Linked DNA regions of Oryzias latipes. The protein of the gene in region 1 interacts with the protein of each later gene in a pairwise test. Links are inferred from orthologs where the notes say so. Each region holds a gene or a part of one and is shown in the gene's direction. Other genes may lie near its edges.

Region 1 (3,655 bases):
CTAGGTGGCATGACCCTGGCTTTACCTGTAATCAATAACGTTGGAGCGGGCGGAGCCGTTCAGCTCATCCAATCAGCGGATGGCACATTTTCTGTTGCTAATGGCAACCAGCTGGTGACAACAGCTGTTTCTGGAGCTGCTCCAGCTGCAACTGGATCCACAGCAGCGGCAGCTGAGGGCGACGGCGTGTCAGACGCGGCTCAAGTGGTTTCTACAGGATCAGCTGACGCTCAGGTACAGAGCAGCGAGGCAGATTCTCAGAACCAAAACCAAGCCAACGGGCTGCAGAATCAGACTGACGCCGTCGGAACCATCCAGCAGGTGATCGTGGGTCAGGTTGGGCATCAGCTGGTCCAGCAGATCCAGTTGCAACCCCAAGCCCAGAGTCAGGGTCAGCCACAGAACCAGCAGCAGCCTCAGCAGATTCAGACCCTTCAGTTGGCGCCAGGACAAACTCTGCAGCCCATCCAGGCCATCCAGAACCCAGCCCAGGTTCTCATTCGCACTCCTACTCTGTCACCTTCTGGGCAAATCACCTGGCAGACGTTGCAACTTCCTGGAGGAGTGTCGCTGCAGGGCGGTCTCGGGGCGGCTGTGCCGCAGCAGCTGACCCTGGCCCCGGTTGCAGGCGGTGCGACGGTGGGGGGTGGGGGGTTGGTCTCCCTGAGCGGCACTCCCTTGACTTTGAGTGCAGCTCAGATCAACCCAGGCTCAGGGGTACAAACGGTCAGCATCGCAGGACTGGGCACTGCTGGGGTTCAGGTGCAGGGGGTTCCTCTCACCATCACCGGTCTGCAGGGTAAGTACACAATAAGTGTAACAGTGTGACTATGAGACACTTTTTTCAGAAGTGATTGACGTTTTTTATAGGACTTTTGAATCAATTTTGGGGCCGGTTCCCAGATTAACCACTTAAAGCAAAATATCAGAAACATCCCTCCTGCTCAGACATTTAGAATTTTCTCCTCTTGCAGTTTTTAGTGTATTTTTTTTCTTCTGCATGTCACATAAAGGTTGACACACTTTTCAAATTCACCTCTAGGTCAAACACAGGGTCAGGATGGGGTCAAAGTTCAGTCCTCTCCTGTGACAGTCACTGTCGGCAACATGGCTTCAGGTTCATCCATGAGTCCAGATCAGCTCGGCTCAGTTCAGAGTTCCTCGGATCAGGAGGGCCAGCCCAGCAAGCGGCTCAGACGCGTCGCCTGCTCCTGTCCCAACTGCAGGGATGGAGAGGGGAGGTATGGAGAGCTTACAAGAAAAACAACCACCAGAAAGCAGTTAATTCAGAAGTACAATAGACATTTTAAAGGGTTGGATACGTTTTAGTCTCTGCAATTTCATAGTTATTGACAAATAGTTAAAGGATTTGAAGTTTTATTTCAAGTCCCACTCCGATCATCTTTTGATCCATTTTAAAAGTGTTCCCAGTGGTCTTTAAAGTATCAACAAAATCTGTGTTGTTTTCTAAAACACATTTTCTGCAGAGTTGCTGGAGTTCGTTGGACTACATTGATCTATTTGTCTGCAAGTGGATCCATCAGAATGGAGCAGAGCAGGAAGCTTTTTCCAACGGCATTTTTCCGTCTGCAACCGATTCACAATTTGCATTAAAAAAAAAAACCCACAGAAGTGCAATTTTAATCTTAAATTATGTTATATATATCCTCCATCATTTCAGAAAATACCACAAGAAAATGTTTTCACTAGAGTGAGTCTTTAAGTTGTGTGCTTTCTTGAAGATTCACTCTTTCAGTGTTTTTTGTTGTTTTTAACACAAAAAACGCAGTTTGAAAAAGTTTGTATTCATGATGTAGAAAATATACTGGGCGGGCCACAAGCTCCTGACTCCGCCCCTTTCTTATGCATCCACTTGCAGACAATGTTTTCTTCGTCTGAGCCGGTATCTTGATCAGAACTGTACGACTGGATCGCTCTGATAATGTTCGCCAAATTTGTTGCACCAGTAATGTGAGGGTGGGGGTTTGAGGGGCTGTAAGCCAGTGGGAGAACGTAGAAACAGATGGGTGATGGGAAGTGGGGTGTGCTTACTTCGCGGCAACAGTCTCGCCCACAATTCAGAGGTGAATTTCTAATTAACTGCTGCTGCTCTGCAGAAACTATGTCCTAGAAAACAACACAGGCTTTAAATCATAGCATCATCAAGATAAAAGACCACTGAGAACACCTTTGAAATGCATCAAAAGATGATCACTTGTCCCAAAAAGCAAATCAAAGTCTGACATCTGATAGACTACAGAATTTTGTAACAACATTTTATTCTAGAACACCTATTGGGTGCCGTTTGCAAAGTGAAAAAATCAGATATTGACAACAATATTTTTGGTTATTTAGCCTGTTTTAGGATAAAAGCAACTGGTTTCATTTTTCAAATGCATATTTTCACTTTTTAATTAATGTATCTATAACTTATACTTTTTTTAACTAAAAATTTAGTTTGGAGCTAAATGTTTCACTCCTAACTAAATTTTTAGCTAACATGCAAATTAACTTGCTGATAAGCGGAAATGGACTATCAAAATAAAAGCTGGATTTTGCGCTGTCTCTGAAATAATTCTCGCCAGACGTGTCCCTCATGCACTTTCTTGTGCCATATTGATGCATGTCCAACATTCTGGCGGAATGCTGCTTTTTTGTAATTAGGCTTCTTCTACCGGAAAACCGAGTTTGTTTGTGATTGTTGTCATGCTGAAAGTTCCAGCCATGTTTCATCTTCAATGTCCTTGCTGATGGAAGGTTTTTACCCAAAATCTGACGATACATGTCCCCATTTATTCTTTCCTTCACACCGATCAGTTGTTTTGGTCCCTTTACTGAAAAACAGCCCCAAATCATGATGTTTCCACACCCATGCTTTACAGTGGGCATGGTGTTCTTTGGATGCAACTCAGCATTCTTTATCCTCCAAACACGACCAGTAGAGTTATTACTAAAAAGTTCTATTTTGGTTTCATCTGACCTTAGGACATTCTCCCAATCCTCTTCTGGATCATCCAAATGCTCTCCAGCAAACTTTAGACGGTTCTGCACATGTACTGGCTTTAGCAGGGGGACACGTCTGGCACTGCAGGATTTGAGTCCCTGGCGGTGTAGTGTGTTACTGATGATAGCCGTTGATACTTTGGCCCATTCTTTTGGGTACCCCGTCTGGTTCTGGGATTTTTCCTCCGTTCTTGTGATCATTTTGACCCCACAGGGTGAGATCTTGCGTGGAGCCCCAGCTCGAGGGAGATTATCATTTGTCTTGTTTGTCTTCTATTTCCTAATAATTGCTCCTACAGTTGATTTCTTCACACCAAGCTTTTTATCTGTTGCAGATTCAGTTTTCCAGCCTGGTGCAGGTCAGCAATTTGGTTTCTGGTGTCCTCAGACAGCTCTTTGGTCTTGATCATAGTGGGGTTTGGAGTGTGACTCTGTGAGGTTGTAGACAGCCGTATTTTATATAGATAACCAGTTCAAACAGGTGACATTAAAACAAGTAACAAGTGGAGGACAGAGGATCTTCTTACAGAAGAAGTTACAGGTCTGTGAGAGCCAGAAATCTTGTTTTCTTATTGGTGGCTGACTAAATACTTTTTTGCCTCATTGTAGATAAGGAAGGGATGGGGAATTGGCATAGGGGCTGTTTATAGAC
Region 2 (3,655 bases), on another chromosome or scaffold:
CCTGCCAAACCACGCAAAAAGCTGCAACCTATATTCCGAAAAATACAGTACTAATACTTTTCTGCTTCTCTGGAAATTTGTGCCGAAATGAGTCGGAGTAAGGAAGCTGCTGTCATCATTTAACAGAAGCAGTTCTTTCTTTCCAAAGTTGTTGGTTAAACAAAGAATCATTTTTCATGTGTGAAAACAGTGATACAAAAGTAAACTCATCTGTGTTCATGCAAAGTGAGTAGAGATATGAACCTTTCCAAAGGTATAGAAGCTGATTTATTGTGACATTTTTCTACATGTTTATGCGTGTTCTTCACAATAAATTAACCCCTTCTTGTATTCCTCTCCTGCCGTGCCTCCTACAGTTGACCCTGACCCCAACGCAGCAGCTGCTGATCCAGCAGGCCCAGGCTCAGATCCTGGCTGCAGCTGTGCAGCAGCATACAGCCAGCCAGCAGAACAGCACCACTGGGGCCAACATCTCAGCCACTGCAGCCACGCCCATTACCCAGTTACCCCTCTCACAGCCCATTCAGATTACCTCTGTAAGTCATCCGCCTCTGAGTTTCTTCAGACGCAGTCAGAGGTATGAACATTCATGGCACATTGTTTGTTCTTCAGCAGCTACAACAGCAGAGTTTAGGCCTGCCTCAGTTTGTTCTGGTTCAGCCTGGTCATCACATTGCTACTTCACTGCAGCCGGCTCAGTTCATCATCTCACAGACACCGCAGGCCCAGCAAGGTAAGAGAGGATGCTGAGGAGCATCAAGAGGAGCCATTTCAAGCGTTATAATCACTGTTTCCTTTTCCATTGATGCTGTGCAGGTATATTGCAACCCCAGAGTCTTCTAACTCAACTACCTCAAAGCCAAGCTAACCTCCTGCCAACTCAACCAAGCATCAACCTTGCAACTCAGGTTGGTCTTAACGCAGCCACTTCTTCAAACGTCCAAAGATGTGTTGGAGTTGCTGTAAACTTCAATGTTTCTCACATTTTGGTTACGCTTGTGACCCGTGTAGCCTTCAACTCCAACCCGAACTACAGCAGCCACGCCTATTCAGCTGCCCCAGAGTCAGACACCACCCAAGCGGTTGGATACTCCCACGCTGGAAGAACCAAGTGATCTTGAGGAGTTGGAGCAGTTTGCCAAGACTTTCAAACAGAGACGAATTAAACTGGGCTTTACACAGGTGAGATTTGAATCGCCTCCACACGATCAGGGAAATCTACATTTAACAATTTGCCTTTGTTTTCCTGTGTGTTATTGAGAATTACTATAGATTTAACTAGATATGTTAATTTAAGACTTAAAAAAGTAAAAAGTATTTTATCAACGACAAATCTTTGTGAAAAGATTAAAGGCTAAACACAAAAGTTTTTTTTCCTTAAAAATCCAATTATTTACTAGATAACTTGAGTGATTCATGATTTTGGTAAATCAATACTTTTTAAGGGGAGATGGAGTGTTTCATAGTTATAATGACTAATATATGATAACATGGCAATACATGAGTTTCTGATAAAAGCATGAATAGTTTCCAGGCTCTGAAAAAAGCTTTCTTTAAAGACAGAGACCAAAATCCTGGATTTATCTGGTGCAAGGACCAGATTGTGTTTGCAATTCGTCTTCTTTATTGCGCCTTTAAACCAAAAAAAATGTTTTTGTAAATTCATTAACAACACCAGAAATAATGTGTTGGGGACATCCAAAGGAAGCTTTGAAATTATTATGGGATGACCACAGGACCTATGACTGGGCAACCATTTTGTGGCACCAGGTAAAGTCAAAGCTTTGTTGACTTTTGACCTCTGGAAGAGGCTGTCAAGTTGAATTAAAAAAAAAAAACTTAATTAGCAGCAGCAAATTTAAATTCCTATCGTCTATCTCTTCCTAACTTCTCGACCGTCTTTGGGAAGCTACTTTGGAAAACATTTTGGAATAAAGAGTTGTAGATTTGAAACGGCTTACACATTGCGTGCTTGCAAAAGAGGCGTTTCCCTGTTCACACGTTTTTTGCTGGATTTTTTTGAAATTTTAATTCTAACTGTTAGCTCACGCTTAATGAAACAAATTACCATGCAATATGAATATATTAAGAATATGGGCGTGGTTAACAAATCCACCATTGCAAAGAAAATCCATGGTTTTAATTTTCTTTGGTTCCATTCTCTCTTTGATCACTTTCCTGAATCACACCAAGATACAGGGTTAGAAACCAAACCATAATTTTTAGGCAGACCAGTTCCATGTGCATCAGTGTTCAGGTGAGCGTTACCACCTGGTCAAGTGCGACGAGCTGTCTTTGTAACTTTAGGTTCAAACGGGTCAAGGTGAAAGCTCTCTAAACTCTCCAGACTGGAGCCAGAAACCCAAGACACCAATGACGGCAACAAAAATCAAGTTAGTTTTTGCCAAAAATTAGTGATGCCTCTTTTCTCCGTGGAGTATTTGTAAATGTCCTCACTTCAAGATCAGGTCTTGATCTCTGGTGTTGCTCATTTTACGGTCCAGAGGGCACTATACAACTCTTGTATTTTGACCTACATGTTGTGTTGACTTTTGCTCTAGTTTCAAATCTTTCTGAAGAGTTTTTCTTAAAACATCCGGTAATATTTTATCATTGTTTTAAGTTTTAAAATAAGTTAGTTAAGTTCAAGTTAAAGAGAGCTGAGGGGCGGAGTTTATATTCATCCTGGCATTTATGTCACATGAAAACACAGAGGTTCTTCTAGGATATTTAAAACGAGGGGAAAAAAGCATCTTGCATGTAATTTTAATGAACAGAGATTTATTTCAAGGGTGTTAATCAAACCCAGGAGATGAGGGGACCTTTAATAATTAATGCTGCTCATACTTCTCTGTCTGCTCCTCTGCTTCTTTAGGGGGACGTCGGCCTGGCCATGGGCAAGCTGTATGGAAACGACTTCAGTCAAACCACCATTTCTCGCTTTGAGGCCTTGAACCTGAGCTTTAAGAACATGTGCAAACTTAAGCCTTTGCTGGAGAAGTGGCTTAATGATGCAGGTTTGTCCCTAAACCTACAATCATCATCATTTTCATACATTCACTTTCTTGAAAACGAACATAGATGTCAAGTCCTCACCTTTAACTCACTCATGATCAAAGAGGTGCGTTTAAAGACACACTGAGGAAATTGTGTTTTTGGTGTTTCTAACATACTCTTGAGTAGTGCAATGGATCACGGCTGAACCGTGATACATACGGATCAGTAGCTATGGTTTGAATCCCACATGCATTAAATTATTTGTAAGGGAGCACTTTACCTTTCTAGTTAACTATAATGGCAATAGTAGAAGGGTGATGGGCAAAACTGGATTGCTGGGTTCACATCAAACACAATGTGCGTGTCAAATTTGCATTGGTCACCTTTGTTTTGACAATTCACTGCAAACGCTTGTCCAAAAGTGTGTTTATAGACTCGATGATCACACTGTGTGTGGGAGGAGCTACAGTCAATTGTTTTTCTTGGTCAGACCTCATCGCTGCATCATGGAACAGTCTGATATGTTAAGAGATCTAGTTCATTTATTTTGAAAAGCTTTATTAAAACATCAGTAAATACCTCCCCATGTCTGGGGTCGAGAGATCATTTAGAGACTCTGTGAGCTTCACCATCGACTGCGAGAGCTGCATCTGAATGG
Region 3 (3,677 bases), on another chromosome or scaffold:
AGTCTGACCTGGTATAATCTCCCCATCATTGACAGTGCTGTTAGACCTCTGAGCCCCCTTTCTAATCCACTCTGTGCTGATGTGACAGATGGTGTGTTTTAGTCCGTGTGCACTTTGTGGCAGAACTCCCTTCTTTTAATATGTTGCTAATAAATGACCCGCCTAATCCAGTGCGCACTTTGTCGTTCCACTTTTTTTAAATTTAATTAATTAATTTTCAGAATCAGACGTGAAGCTGCGACATGCTAACCAGAGACACAAAGTTAGAGGCTGTTAAAGTCCCTAATTTGAGGTTTGAAATGTCTTCAATGAGTAGAGATTTATGTGTGAGACTACACATCCGTTTGACAAGATGGGCTTTCTTCTAATCTGCCTTTAATCTGCAGGTCGTGGTCTGTAACTGACGCACAAACCTGGGTTTCACTTGAAGCTTTTATCTTGTGTTGACTTATTAACAGCAAATGCAAAGGAAGCTAGTCCAGAGACTGTCTATTATACAGGTCTTCATACACATTTTATGAAAAAACGAACAAATCATTCATATTGATATTAGTAATTAGTGAAAAATAAGTTAAATAAAACCATTTGGATAAAAACAACTATAGAATCCAACAGGGAACAGTTTGTAACACAGCAAACGTGGTTGAAAGTGGATGTTACCAAAAGAAGAGAAATGTTAACAATTAAGACATTAAAACACCAAACACAGCTTTGTCACACCAATGCATCCCTAATAGTTTTAAAGATGTATGTTGCTTCTTGATATCAGTGAAATACAATCTGTGTAAGAATAACTAGTGAGGTGTCTGCAGGTATGACGCGTTAGAAAGGATAGGCTTCACATAACCATGTGACCATTTAAAGTCCCACGCCGATCATCTTCTGATCTATTGTAAAGGCCTCCCCTGTGGTCTTTTGATTATGATTAGCCAAAATCAAAAAAACCTGTGTGGTTTCTAGATAGAGCACAGTTTCTGCAGAGCAACAGAATTTTTTCATCTGCTCCTGATTCGCGATGAATGAAACAAAATACTCAGAAATGCAACGTTGACCTTAAATTTCTTTATATATGTTCTCTGTCATCAGAAAAATGAACTCAAAAACACCATTTTCATCAGAATAGGTCGTTAAGATTTTTATTAATAAAGTTTCATTTGTTCAGCTTCTTCACTTTAACACTCTTATCTGGTATATGCAGGTATCATAATGCACAGTGTCAGTCTTCATCAAAAGAGCAAAACTCATGACCTCGACCTATCACTGTCATTAGAACTGAATGAAATGCATCACTTAGTCTGCATTCACTGATCTCCACCAACAAAGTGACACAAACCCAGCTCAGCGTGTTGGATGTGTAAGATGGACTGTAAAAAACTAGGGAAATGGATCCAGGTCAGTTCATCAAGCAGCCACTAGGGGGGTTGTTAAATTCCTGGCTGGTTCCAAAACCAATGAATAGACTAATCATTGATCTGTTTAATTTTAATTGTGCACACTGATTAAATAATCCAACTGATCAGATTTTAAAAGGGCTGTGGTTCAATTATTATTATTAATGATCATTATTAATTAATTATTATTATTCACTGACATCATTGTCATTAAAAACAAGAACAAATTTTTCCTCTAGTCAGTTTGATTGAAAAACAAATGCTTGTTTGGTTGGCTGATTACTGTTCTGTGTTCACAGTGGGATGGATTCCATAACTGCTGTTTTTTATTTTTTTTAAAATGACCACTTTGAAACCTCGAGGGCTGAGAAAGACTTTAATATTTAAAAGAGGGACATGAGCCCGCACTGACCTTCTTGCTTGCCTGTGACACAGTGACAGCTTGCTGGGTGGGGCTGAGGCCCACGTGACTGCAGCAATAATCTCCTCCAGCACAGCTGGGAGCGGGGGGGGGGAAGCGAGCCTCAGATCCTCAATCGGACTGTTGTTCAGAAATGGCGTCCATGAGACAGGGCTGCTTCTGTCGTGAACACACACCTGGATTGTGCGGGCCTCTAGAACCATCCTAAAAAAACAAGCAAAAAGCCTTTGGGCTCAATTTAACTGGATGTTCCTGTCTTTTCCTCAGGTCTCGTCCAGATCCCGGTCAGCATGTACCAGACCGTAGTCACCAGCCTCGCCCAGGGTAACCGGCCCGTCCAGGTTGCCATGGCACCTGTCGCCACACGCATAGATAACACTGTCACACTAGACGGCCAGGCAGTGGAGGTTGTGACCCTGGAGCAATGACACTATGGACCTTAAAAAAAAATAGTAGAAAGCACTGAATGGCCACCTTGGAGACTTGTTTCCCTCTCATGTTTTCCAAGACTTCACATTGTGTACAATGTTAAATATATTTTTAAATGTACATATGCAGGGGAAATGAAAGTGAATGATTGTTGCATTGTGTTTACTATGTAAAGATATTGATTTTGGCTGTGTGTGTCATTAAGCTTCATATTTTTTAAAGATCTTTCATGTTGCCTGTTTAGTATTTATATTTTTTTTTGTTTTTTGCAAATAGCCCATACTTAAAACAAACCAAAACACATGGGAGGAAAGCCACGAAATGTCAAAGTGTATAAATGATCGATATTTTTTTGTACCTTTTGATGTGTATGACTATTCCGTTTTAGGATGCATTTAAAACTCGTTTTGCTCTTTAGTCTTTTCCCATAATTAGAAACTGTTCTCACTTAATTTTCAGCACGTGTGCTGTCGACACTCCCAGTTGGTATAAAACATCAAAAATAATCGTTTTGGTCTCATCTGCTGTAGTCCAAACACATGCCAAACTCGCTGACTCAGGATGTACATCAAGGTGTTGTCTACTGCTGTTTTGCTTAGAATACCTATTGGAGCAGTCTTTGTCAGATGTTTATTTATACTGCATGGATGGAGGAGCACCCCATTAAGTGTTTATTTTTTTTTATTAACTCCTTTGTATGTCACTTACAACCAGTATACATCATTTTGTACATGACAGGAAGTTGCACATGGACAGGAAGTGCAGCGTTAGCCAAGCTAATGAGCATTTTCAGCGGAAACAACATTGCTTGCCAAAACTGATGCAGCTGTTACAGTCGGTTTAGCTTTCATTCCCGTTTGTGTATTTGAAAAAATAAAGTCCAGAAATGTCTCTGCTGTTCCTTTTCACTCGGCTACTATTAGGCATTTGATTCGGTGGGAACTGTGGCATCTGTCAGGTTTGATTTTTTTTTTATTTCCAACTGATAAAGAATAAACAGAAGTGTAACAATGAATAACATTACAGGTTTAAAAAGGGCTTCGGATGAAGTTTTACTACTTGGCGAGTTCAAGACATTTTTAAAATTCAATCTAAAGTTAAATTGATGCAAAAATTTCTATAGAATTGCAAAAAACTAGGAACAAACACTGAAAGCAATCAATTAAAAAATACACATCAATGAGTCATCTTATTACTATATCATCTTTTAACCCTTGTGTTATCTTAGATGACCCCACCCTTACTTTGACGTGTTCTCCCTACCATGATAAAGGTGGAAAGATTTCATGTAATCCATGGACACCAGTGAAGATCACAAATCATTGAAGAAAAAAGGTTCAGAGCACTGTCCAGTGGGTCTAGATGACCCAACTCCCAATGGTAAAGTGCCTAGGATAGCACAAGGGTTATGATAAGATATGCCTTCATTGTCACTG

Evidence for each region.
Region 2: the proteins of sp4 (region 1) and pou2f1 interact in binary tests that used the Homo sapiens proteins (3 or more experiments, as listed by UniProt). The two-hybrid records come from large-scale screens. The link is inferred for Oryzias latipes from reciprocal best matches to the Homo sapiens genes SP4 and POU2F1.
Region 3: the proteins of sp4 (region 1) and nrf1 interact in binary tests that used the Homo sapiens proteins (3 or more experiments, as listed by UniProt). The two-hybrid records come from large-scale screens. The link is inferred for Oryzias latipes from reciprocal best matches to the Homo sapiens genes SP4 and NRF1.

Annotation. Positions count from the first base shown.
Region 1 is NC_019869.2:9,692,453-9,696,107, reverse strand, and holds part of sp4 (transcription factor Sp4), read left to right. Parts: coding exon 1-799; intron 800-1,042; coding exon 1,043-1,241; intron 1,242-3,655. UniProt on the Homo sapiens protein: Binds to GT and GC boxes promoters elements. Probable transcriptional activator.
Region 2 is NC_019879.2:10,747,685-10,751,339, reverse strand, and holds part of pou2f1 (POU domain, class 2, transcription factor 1), read left to right. Parts: intron 1-356; coding exon 357-536; intron 537-612; coding exon 613-733; intron 734-816; coding exon 817-908; intron 909-1,011; coding exon 1,012-1,182; intron 1,183-2,875; coding exon 2,876-3,017; intron 3,018-3,655. UniProt on the Homo sapiens protein: Transcription factor that binds to the octamer motif (5'-ATTTGCAT-3') and activates the promoters of the genes for some small nuclear RNAs (snRNA) and of genes such as those for histone H2B and immunoglobulins.
Region 3 is NC_019881.2:14,758,431-14,762,107, reverse strand, and holds the end of nrf1 (nuclear respiratory factor 1), read left to right. Parts: intron 1-2,079; coding exon 2,080-2,240; 3' UTR 2,241-3,132; downstream 3,133-3,677. UniProt on the Homo sapiens protein: Transcription factor that activates the expression of the EIF2S1 (EIF2-alpha) gene. Links the transcriptional modulation of key metabolic genes to cellular growth and development.